Linked DNA regions of Macaca mulatta. The protein of the gene in region 2 interacts with the protein of the main gene of each other region in a pairwise test. Links are inferred from orthologs where the notes say so. Each region holds a gene or a part of one and is shown on either strand. Other genes may lie near its edges.

The links. The genes of interacting proteins can lie anywhere in the genome.
Region 1: the proteins of GOPC (region 2) and VTN interact in binary tests that used the Homo sapiens proteins (3 or more experiments, as listed by UniProt). The two-hybrid records come from large-scale screens. The link is inferred for Macaca mulatta from reciprocal best matches to the Homo sapiens genes GOPC and VTN.
Region 3: the proteins of GOPC (region 2) and RNF183 interact in binary tests that used the Homo sapiens proteins (3 or more experiments, as listed by UniProt). The two-hybrid records come from large-scale screens. The link is inferred for Macaca mulatta from reciprocal best matches to the Homo sapiens genes GOPC and RNF183.

Annotation. Positions count from the first base shown.
Region 1 is NC_133421.1:37,064,705-37,068,454, forward strand, and holds the start of VTN (vitronectin), read right to left. Parts: upstream 2,424-3,750; 5' UTR 1,522-2,423; coding exon 1,458-1,521; intron 1,365-1,457; coding exon 1,245-1,364; intron 1,170-1,244; coding exon 825-1,169; intron 747-824; coding exon 607-746; intron 347-606; coding exon 190-346; intron 1-189. Other genes in the region: NAD(+) hydrolase SARM1 precursor, read left to right, coding at 3,272-3,741. UniProt on the Homo sapiens protein: Vitronectin is a cell adhesion and spreading factor found in serum and tissues. Vitronectin interact with glycosaminoglycans and proteoglycans. Is recognized by certain members of the integrin family and serves as a cell-to-substrate adhesion molecule.
Region 2 is NC_133409.1:22,564,664-22,568,313, reverse strand, and holds part of GOPC (Golgi-associated PDZ and coiled-coil motif-containing protein), read left to right. Parts: intron 1-2,136; coding exon 2,137-2,312; intron 2,313-3,650.
Region 3 is NC_133420.1:45,009,075-45,012,824, forward strand, and holds the start of RNF183 (E3 ubiquitin-protein ligase RNF183), read left to right. Parts: upstream 1-1,641; 5' UTR 1,642-1,982; intron 1,983-3,750. UniProt on the Homo sapiens protein: Acts as an E3 ubiquitin ligase catalyzing the covalent attachment of ubiquitin moieties onto substrate proteins. Triggers apoptosis in response to prolonged ER stress by mediating the polyubiquitination and subsequent proteasomal degradation of BCL2L1.

The sequences.
Region 1 (3,750 bases), on a different chromosome or scaffold from region 2:
GGGTGGTGGGCATTAGGAGGGCTGGGCCAGAGCCAGACTGGAGATCCCAGAGGCTGTTGAAGTTAGGATCTCCCAGCATGAGGTGGGGGTATGGGGTGGGCACATGCTGAGGCCTGTCCCCAGTGAAGTGTGAAAGGAATCCAAGACTGCTCCACTGCCTGCTCAGTCTCCCACCCACCCCCTGAGTACCCTTGAAGAAGTAGACCCGCTCCCTGCCACTGTAGCTATGGGCAGGGAGGGCCAAGGCTGCGTCCACATTGTCTGGCATGCCATCGAAGCCATCAGAGATATTTCGGGGGTAATCAGGGTCCAGGACACCATCCTCAAAGCGCCAGTACTGACTACCCTAAGAGGTGGGGAAAGTGAAAAGGGGTATGGAGGCTGCTGGCTAGGCACAGAGGCAGAGTCCCTTGCCCTAAGGCAGCCGTTCCCAGGTTCAGGTTCACTGCCCAGGACCTGGAGTCTTGGGGCTGCCCTGTGCTCACAGAGCGCCCACCAGGTCCTGCAGCGCCCTGGGTCCAGCCTCCCTGTCCACCCTGTCCCTGGGAGCAATAGCTCTCAAACCCTCCCTAGATGCTTTCTACCCTGGTCCACAGCTGCTGGCACCTTGAAGAGGTAGGTCTTCCCCTGACAGTTGATGCGGGTGAAGGCGGCATCAATGGGGCCCTCGATGCCCCAGACATCTCGGATGAGCTTGGGGTACCCAGGCCTCACTGCCTTTTCATCCAGTTCATAGCAGTACTGCCCTACAGTGGAGGAGGTGGTGTGAGAGCGGGGACGCTCCTGGGGCAGACCCCCATCCCCAATACCTGCCCTGGATTCACCTCGGAAGGCAAAGAGGGAACCGTTCTTGAGGTCGGTGAAGGCGTCGAAGGGTTTCCCACTGCATAGCTCCTCCTCTGCTGGGAGCTCAGGGGTCCCTGGACGAAGGGTCTCGGGCCTTGAGTCCGTCCCCTCAGGCTTAGAGATGCCCACCTCAGGTGCAGGGGATTCTTCCTCAGGGTTCAGAACAGTTGCCTGCTCAGGAGTCCCTTCGGGCTGGGCCTGGAGGTCAGGGCTCGGGGAGGAGCCCTCCGGCTGTTCATGGATGGTGGCATTGTTTTTCTCCTCACCGTAGTCATAGGTCACATACTCATCCTCCGGCATAGTGAACACATCCCCACGAGTCACTGCGGAGAGTGGATGGTAGTGAGTCTCCAGCTGCAAGGGGCACCCCAGCCCACCCACCTGGGCTCTGAACACACCTTGGGGCTTGCACTCAGCCGTATAGTCTGTGCAGCAGCTCTGGTAGTAAGAGCAGAGCTCATCACACTGGCACTTCTTGTCAGCATTGAAGCCCTCAGTGCAGCGGCCCTTGCATGACTCTTTGAGGAAGGGGTGTCAGTAGGTGCCGCCAAGCCCGGGCCACCCTCGCCCTCCCTACATTGACTCAGATGGCCACCAACACCCCCCTGTACCTTGGTCAGCCACAGCAACCCATGCCAGCAGGGCCAGCATGAGAAGGGGTCTCAGGGGTGCCATGGCGGGACTTCTAGCTCAGTGCCTGGCAAGCTGGGCTCTGATCTCCCTGAAGTCTCCTCCCTGATGCCTGAGGAAGGGAGGGAGAGGCAGAGACAGGGAGGGAGGGGACTGAAGAAGAGGAACTGCCTTTTCTGCTGCTCTGTTTGCTCAACCTCCAGCCCATCCCCTCTGCCCCCTCCAGCGGCTGCTGCAGCAAAGGTCACATTCCTGGAACACTGGGCCTGGGAGAGCTGGGAGATAAGACCTTTGCCAAGCTCAGAATCATTAGGTCATCAGAAGGGGAATTAGCACCGCGGATCTGGAGGCCAGAAAGAAGGCTCATTGGGCAACAGCTTTATCTCTCTGAGTCTTAGTTCAGTTTCAGTAAAATGGGATTAACCCCCTTGCCTCATGGGGTGTTGGGAGATTACATGAACTGGAACAGACAAAATGCCCAGTAGCTGGAGCAGTCACAAATTCCTTCTCCAAACATGGCTATTGATCCATGATTGTTTGATCAGACACATCCCTGGCTGGGTGCTCATTCGCCATTGTTTATTTAGGGCAGGAAAAAGGGAGTGGGAGGAGAGTTTGTAAGCACTCTGGGGAATTTTCTTTTTTAGCATAAAAGAACACAGTTTCATTTCTGGGTTCTTCGCTTGGGTGCATCAATCTCCCCAGGCTGGAAATTTGGGTAAATATCAACCCACTGAACTAGATTTGATTTCTGAGTCTTTTCTGAGCAGGTCACTCCCTGTCCCCAGCCTCAGTCTTCCCATCTGTAAAGAGTGGGCTTGTTCACACTTTTAGACTCTCAAGAGAAATACGATCCCTCTACCTGGAAAATGCCCACTGGCGTGAAACACCTGATTTTGTGCCCAATTTCAGGTGTCCACAGAGCTTCTGAAGTCCTGCCATCACCTGAAAAAAAAAGTGATCCTGAGATTTTAGCTGATTTTTCTGTTCTGTAATCAGAGGGGACTGTGATTTTGGCCAATCTCTTCCTCATGGGCTTCAGTGGAGTCAGCTGTGGAATGGAACACCGATTCCCACCCCAGAGGCATGTTGTGAGGTCTAGCTGAGAAACAGGCATAAAAGGGCCTTAAGAGTTATGATGATTGTTTTAACCACTTAGTAGGGAGGGGGCACGCAGCGGTGTTGCTCCCACGTACTGGTGTCACGCGGGGCGGGGAAGAGGAGGTGGAGAACGGAGACTGTCATCTCATTTTCGACCCCCTTCCTCCAAGTCCAGCGCAGGAGGAGGCGGCTGCGACTGAGGGGCTGGGAAAGGCTGGCCAGGGGCGTGGGCGTGGCTGGGGACGACTTGGGGGTGGGGCTGCGCAGGAGGCTGGAGGAGCCCCGCTGGACCCAGAGGCGGGGCATCGGCCCCGGGTCCGCTGCGGTTCCAGGGCGTGGCTGCTGCCGAGCATCTCCCAGCTCAGCCGAGCCCCTGCCCGGGCAACGCTTTGTTCCAGCCGCCGCCTCCTCTACCCTCCGGCGTCCGGAGCCATCCCTCGCCTCCTCTCTCTCTCCTTTCGCCCACTCCCTGCATCTTGGCCTGCATCACCTTTGCCAACCGCTGCGCCCCCGATCCTGCCCTCACTCCTCCCTCAAACTTCTGACCGGCACCCTTGCCTGGTACCCTTCTCTCTATTCCTCTCCCTCCATCTTCTTCCCCCGACCCCTCTCGGGTCCCTCTTTTCCCAAAACCGGGATCTCTCCGCGCGGCCCCCGCCTCCAGGCCGGGGATGTCCCCCGCGGCCCCGCGCCCATGGTCCTGACGCTGCTCCTCTCCGCCTACAAGCTGTGTCGTTTCTTCGCCATGTCGGGCCCACGGCCAGGCGCCGAGCGGCTGGCGGTGCCGGGGCCGGATGGGGGCGGTGGCACGGGCCCATGGTGGGCTGCGGGCGGCCGCGGGCCCCGCGAAGTATCGCCGGGGGCAGGCTCCGAGGTGCAGGACGCCCTGGAGCGCGCGCTGCCGGAGCTGCAGCAGGCCTTGTCCGCGCTGAAGCAGGCGGGCGGCGCGCGGGCCGTGGGCGCCGGCCTGGCCGAGGTCTTCCAACTGGTGGAGGAGGCCTGGCTGCTGCCGGCCGTGGGCCGCGAGGTAGCCCAGGGTCTGTGCGACGCCATCCGCCTGGACGGCGGCCTCGACCTGCTGTTGCGGCTGCTGCAGGCGCCGGAGCTGGAGACGCGTGTGCAGGCCGCGCGCCTGCTGGAGCAGATCCTGGTGGCTGAGAACCGGTGAGCGCG
Region 2 (3,650 bases):
TTACCTCTGTTAATTTGAGGCCTGAGAGTTTATCAGATTCATTAGGGATTTAAATCATTAAAACCCCAGTCGGTGGTAGCTTAGTACGTCTCCTACGTTTCATTAATGTAGTATAAATAACTCATTAAAGTAATTGAAAGTAGGTAATCGTCAACATAAAGTTTATTTAGCCCATAAACCAAAGAAGTCTTGATCTTCTAGGAATGCTTTTTTAAAAGTTGCATCAACTTTAAAATGTCATAAGAAAGATTTTTGTTCATATCTCCAAACTGGTTTCTTTTGAAACAGATACTTGCCCTTTTAGGACATAGGTTCTGAAATAAAGATTTTAATAATTCCAAAATTATGTTAAAAGGAGGATTCTAGATTGAGATTTTCAAATCCTTTAAAACTAGTATCTAGAAATTATGTTCTAATCTTTTTTTCCCAGAAATTGAAAGAGTCTCCTAATCTTTCATATGTTTGTCATATATATAACAAATATTTTTAATCAAAGAAGTGACAAATATATCTAGCATTTGGTAGTTGTCGTTAGTTTTAGCTTGTATGTGTGTGTGTGTTTGTGTGTATGTATGTAAATTTTTTCTTTAGGATTATGGTATTTATTGACTAGTATTCAAATATATCTATTTTGATGTTGTTCAAAACAGTAGACCAAAGGAGACACGTTAAATTAGTACCAAAATATATTCCATGAATTGCTGAAAATATGCTTAAATTTGTTTCTTAGCTTCTCAATATCCAGAATAAAAAGGGAAATAATTATGTAAAATAATCAGTGCATACAATAGAAACAATACTATTCATCATTTCCTCAAGAGAAACAATTTCTCTGGTGCTAAGGTAGGTTTTTATTTACATCCTCACAAAAGGGACATGGTGGTATAGGGAATAATGTCTTCCACATATCATGAACAAATGTAACCATGTTTTCATAGGATTTGTGGATTCTGTAAAAGCAGTTCTGCTCAGGATAAATGCAAGTTTTCAGTGTTTAGGTGATTTTTTTGACCTACAAATAACACTTAAAATGTCTGCTGGGGCCCTTATTTAACTCTCAAAAGGGTTTTATTTGGCCATATAGTTTTGTGTGTGTGTTTGAGTTTGAATTTGCCTGCCTATGGGCAGAATTTTTTGTACCTTCTGTTTTGTACTCTATTTTGTCTTGTACCTGCCTGTTTCTGCACTTGGATCCTGAAGGCATTTACATTTGCAACCCTTGATCTGTAGGAAAGATTATACTTTATGCTTTTAAGGTAAATTGAACATTATTTCTCATATATGAACTTCTGATAAAAATTTGATGGTGAAGATCTTGCGGTTAAAGTCTCTGGCTAACACCTTTATGTTCACATATATGGACTATCTACCAAGAGGAACGTAGGAGGCAAGTGAGGCCAGTGTTTTCCTCAGAAAAACGTTCTGCATTCACTCTTAACATGCAGACAAATAGATGAACCGGATAACAAAGTTCAGTGGTAATCCACTCCATAGATGTGATTAATCTATAGAAACTTTGTAATGTGTAAATGTTTTAATGCAGTTGTTACTAGCAGTTTTTCATGACTATAAAATGTTTATTAGAAAACTAGTATATCCTCTAGTTTATTCCTTATAAGTTTCTTGTGGTCCTCTAAGATAAATTAGCTATAAAATGTATCTGTGTAACTGAATGATTCTGACTTTAAGACAGACATGCATAACTTTGCATGCAATTTCTGACAAGTCGACTTTATAGACTTGTTGCATTAAAGTTAATTAAATGTTTGGGAACAACCATCAGAATGATTATTTTTATATTAGTCTAGTTTTCTAAGTCAGTTTTAGAAGTAGATAGCAGATTTAACTACCCATTGAAGTCACTTTTACTAATATGTGATAACATGAGCTTAGAGTAGACTACTTTTCTTACTATCCTCCATATCAGGGTAACCCATGGCATGCAATTATTTTATCTAGAAGTAGTTCCAGGATGTTATGGTACTAGTTCAAAAGAACTAGATCCAGATCTTTGTGTTCCATTTTATAGAGATGATACATTGTTGAACTGTAGGCTTTTGTGCATTTTCAAGAACATGGTCTAGTGCTAAAGAGTTTTTATTTTCATTAAATTATATACTTTTAAAAATTACATAGGAAAGAGAGCTTGAGGCAAACAAAAAAGAAAAAATGAAAGAAGCGCAACTTGAAGCTGAAGTGAAATTGTTGAGAAAAGAGAATGAAGCCCTTCGTAGACATATAGCTGTTCTCCAGGCTGAAGTATATGGGGCGAGACTAGCTGCCAAGTACTTGGATAAGGAACTGGCAGGAAGGTGTGTAAAAAATGGGTATTATTGTACTCTTAAGTGACAAATTGGATATTTAATGAGGTTGACTCTTTTTCTTTTTTTATTTTTTTGAGATGGAGTCTTGCTCTGTTGCCCAGACTGGAGTGCAGTGGCATGATCTCGGCTCACTGCAACCTCTGCCTCCTAGGTTCAAGTGATTCTCCTGCCTCAGCCTCCCGAGCAGCTGGGATTACAGGTGCCTGCCACCACAGCCAGCTAATTTTTGTATTTTTAGTAGAGATGGGGTTTCACCATGTTGGCCAGGCTAGTCTCAAACTCCTGACCTCATGATCCGTCTGTCTTGGCCTCCCAAAGTGCTGGGATCACAGGCGTGAGCCACTGCACCTGGCTGACTCTTTTTTCTTACAGTAAATGCAGCATTAATCTTTTCCCTCAGAATCGTTTTACAGTTGGTTTTAACTTACTGTTGTTAAATTAATACTGACAGCATTATGTATTGCAGATCTATTTATCCATACTAAATATGTTTAGTTTACACACATAAACACTGATAGTATCTTACTGTGAAATGCTAACAGCTCTATAGAGCAGCACTTTCCAACTATTTTGTGCCTTGAGACCAGTACAACTGATATTCACGTGCATAGCAGAACTTCCATAAGGAATTCTTTTTATGATCACTGAAACCCAGCCTTTCTTGCCCTTCAAAAAGACATGTTGGTATTTAGTTAATGACAGTGATTTTATCATAATCATACACAGAATTCTACTTGTATTTATTAAGTAAATTATTAACTCTGGTGACTTATTAGTACTGAATCATTTTGTGCATATTCTTTTAATGTCACATTAAAAACATGAAAGAAAAAATAATCTATATCATCTTGAAGTACACATTTTCTAGTAACTTTTTTTTTTTTTTTAATTTTGTGAGATGGGGTCTCACTCTGTCACTCAGGTTGGAGTGCAGTGGTGCAACGCTGGCTCACTGCATCGTCTACCTTTCAGGCTCAAGTGATCTTCCCACCTCAGCTTCCCAAGTAGCTGGGACCACAGGCATGCCACCAGGCCTGGTTAATTGTTTTTAAGGTTTTGCCATGTTGCCCTGGCTGGTTCTAGTAACTTTTAACCACATTTAAAATAATCATTTTGTGAAAAGAAACTCTAATTAGAAGAAATATTTTTGTACAGTTAATCTCATCTAAAAGCTAACATTTAATGGTATCTGAGTTCAGTGACTTTGCCTGCAAGACGTAAAACAGATTGACATTAATCTCATCAATTGTTTTTTAGATTTATTTGAATTAAGTATATGACTAAAAGAGTTCACATTAATTCCTTTAAAAAAAATTTTTTTACTGG
Region 3 (3,750 bases), on a different chromosome or scaffold from region 2:
ATCACACCTTTCACATGGTCAACCATGTAAATATATTACCTATTTAAAAATCAAATGTGGGAGCGGTGGCTCAGGTGTAATCCTAGCACTTTTGGCAGGTGGATTGCTGGAGCCCAGGAGTTTGAGACCAGCCTAGGCAACATGGAGAAACCCCATCTCTACAAGAAATACAAAAATTAGCCAGCCACGGCCGGGCGCGGTGGCTCAAGCCTGTAATCCCAGCACTTTGGGAGGCTGAGACGGGCGGATCACGAGGTCAGGAGATCGAGACCATCCTGGCTGACACGGTGAAACCCCGTCTCTACTAAAAAATACAAAAACTTAGCCGGGCGAGGTGGCGGGCGCCTGTAGTCCCAGCTACTCGGGAGGCTGAGGCGGGAGAATGGTGTAAACCCGGGAGGCGGAGCTTGCAGTGAGCTGAGATCTGGCCACTACACTCCAGCCTGGGTGACAGAGCGAGACTCCATCTCAAAAAAAAAAAAAAAAAATTAGCCAGCCACGGCGGCATGCACCTGTAGTCCCAGGTACTCAGGAGACAGAGGTGGGAGGATTGCTTGATCCCAGGAGGTTGAGGCTGCAGTGAGCTGAGATCACGCCCTGCACCCCAGCCTGGACGACAGAGTGAGACTCTGTCTCAAAATACATAAATACATAAAAATTATTGTTAAAAAAAAAAAACACAACATGAGGGGACTAGGGCGTTTGATTACATCACCAAGCAGATACATTTATTTACTTATTTCTCAAGTACTGCTGAAAATGTCAGTAAAGAAATAAGGGGCCAGGCGTGGTAGCTCACACCTGTAATCGCAGCTCTTTGGGAGGTCGAGGAGGGTGGATTACCTGAGGTCAGGAGTTCAAGACCAGCCTGGCCAACATGGCGAAACCCCGTCTCTACTAAGAATGTAAAAATTACCCGGGCATGGTGGCGCGCACCCATAGTCCCAGCTACTCGGGAGGCTGAGGGAGGAGAATTGCTGGAACCAGGGAGATTGGGGTTACAGTGAGCCAGTATCGCCCCACTGCACTCCAGCCTGGGCGACAGAGTAAGAATATATCAAGAAAGAAAGAAAGAAAAAGAAAGAAAAGAAAGAAGAAAGAGAGAGAGAGAAGAGAAGAGAAGAGAAGAGAAGAGAAAAGAGGACCATAGGTACAAAAATAATAGGTGCAAAAAGAATTTGAGCAGGAACAAAAGACGGGCCATGTGAACAGACCGGTCGTATAACAATAATAGTTCTGGTTAACATTTACTGAGTTACTGTGTGCCAGGCACTGTGCTATTACGCGATCTCGACACATATTACCTCGTTTCATCTACAGATCAAGTAGGTAGGGTACTATGGCCGTTTTCAGGTGAGGAAACTGAGGCTGGCAGATGTTAACTAATTTGCTCAAGTCTCCATCGCTAGTTAAATGGAGTTTGGATTCTCAGTGAGGATTGAACTCTGACCTAGAAGTGTGCCTTGCTTGAGAACCCTGGCTCTTCAGGCAGATGCTCAACTGTCTCCTGACTATTTTTCTGCTATATTAGTGGCAGCGTTTGTTAGTATTTTGCAAGAGCTGTTTGTATTTTGGTTGCAGGGGCTCAGCATAGGGAAGGATCTATCTGGGCAAAAGCCAGGAGTCCAGGCGGGTCAGCGCACAAAGGACAGTGGAATCCGAGGGGATGGTAGGAGATCAACCGAACCCAGAACAGAGGCCTGCAAGGATGACTGCGCTTGACCCCCTCAGAGAAAAAAGCCAGAGTCACTCACAGGAGAAAGACAAAGCAGCCAAAGCTTCCCGGGTGTACAGGAAGTCCAAAGTCATCAGAAGGAAGAAGAAAACCTGAAACAGTGAGAGCTGGCCAAGCGCTGCTAAGACCTATGCAAATGAGACCCACCCACGCTGCCTGGAAATCGGGCCTGGGAAGTCAGAAAACAAAGTACTTGCGTGCAGGGCTGCAGGGAAGGGAGGCAGAGGAGGCGGCTCCGAGGGAGCAGGTAAGGAGACAGAGAGGGTCGCGGAGGGACGGGTCACAGGGCCCCAGAGTCCGGAGAGGCAGCAGCCGTGAAGCGCGTGGCAGGTGAAATCTGGCCTGGGAGGGCAGGCTACTGGGTTCATCTTTCAAACTCAGCCACTCTTTAGCTGGGAAGCCTTCAGCAAGTCGCCTCAACTTTCTGAGACTTGGCTTCCCCATCTAGAAAATGGGTCCAACAATAATCATGCTAACCAGACTTGCATGTCTTCTGTATTCTACCGGGCACCTTATAGACTAGTCCTTCCCCAGAGCAACCCTGTAGGAGTGGGATGATTACCCTTTTTTACGGAGGAAAATGAAGTTCAGAGAGATTAAGCCATTTGTCCAAGACAAATGGTTCCAAATCTGGTTATAAAGCCGGCACACTTTGTCCTCCCCATTCAGCCTCTCTCACAGGGTGGTTTTAGAGTATGAAATGGCCTTCTGCAAACAACAAAATATCCTAAAAGGCAAGTAACCTATCTAGATGGATCACCACACTTAGATCTTAGCAAGGGCCAGGAACCTCTGTAAACTGTGAAGTGCTATGAAATGCCAGTTCCTGGGTGAAAACAATGGAGTGATGCTGGAGACAACTGATATTTGGTGATGACTTGTTCACAGACCAAGGAGATGACTTTGTGACAGTGTTTAGGATTTACTGTAGCTGAGATGTCCTGGCTTGGGGTGGGGGTGATACGTGGCCAGAGTCTCTCCCCAGCTGATCCTGAAACAACAGTGGATCCCTGGAAGAGCAGCACAGATAAAGATCCAGGCAATAATGATCCTTCCTCCTCTTGGACAGCCTTTTACAGCTCTGGCCATGGAATTTCAGAGAATGTAGGTCTGATCTGGGGGGAAACAGGAGATCTTGACGTGTAGTAATACAAGCTTACTGGAGTGAAGTTAGAATTTTCAGGTAAGAGAATTTAAAAAAAAAAAAAAAACTTATAATCTTGCCCCCAGAGATAACCACTGCTAATATTTGGTTATTTATCTTTCCAGACATTTTTTTCCATTGTGCACACATTTTTGAAAATTGGATTATATTGCAATATGGTTTTGTTGCTGGTTCTTTTTTGCTTAATGACATTATATCCTAGGCATATACCCATATTAATAGTTTTACCACATCATATTAAAGGCGGCATAATATCTCTTCCTATGGATGGAGCAGAATCTACTTAATCAATGTCCAATTACTGGATGATGACGTAGTTCTCCATACGTCACTGTTAAACCAGCGCCCAGATGGGCGTCTCTGTACTCACATCTTTGCAGAAGAGTCCTTGATGATTTCCGTGGAATCAATCCCCAGTGGGGGAAATGATGAGTCAGGGTTACATACAGTTTAAGGCTTCTGATAAGTATAAAAGGTCTGCTTCTAACACACTCTGGGATTCAGGAGCTCCTCAAAGCTTGATGCAGAGAACTTTGCTGTGGCTTTGAAGTCAACCTTGACCCTTCCTTTCTCTCAAATCCATTTGCATTAATAATTTCAGTTGCCTCATATATCCATAACAATGCTTTGGTCAACAGTGGATTACATATGTGATGGTGGCCACATAAGATTATAATACCATATATTTACCGTGCCTTTTCTAAGTTTATGTTGAAATACACACGTAATTATCATTGTGTTACAATACCTATAGTATTCAGAACCTAATAAGTTGTGTGGGTTTGTAGCCTAGGTGTAGCAGGCTAGACCACACAGCCTAGGCACGTAGCAGGCTCTACCATCTAGGTTT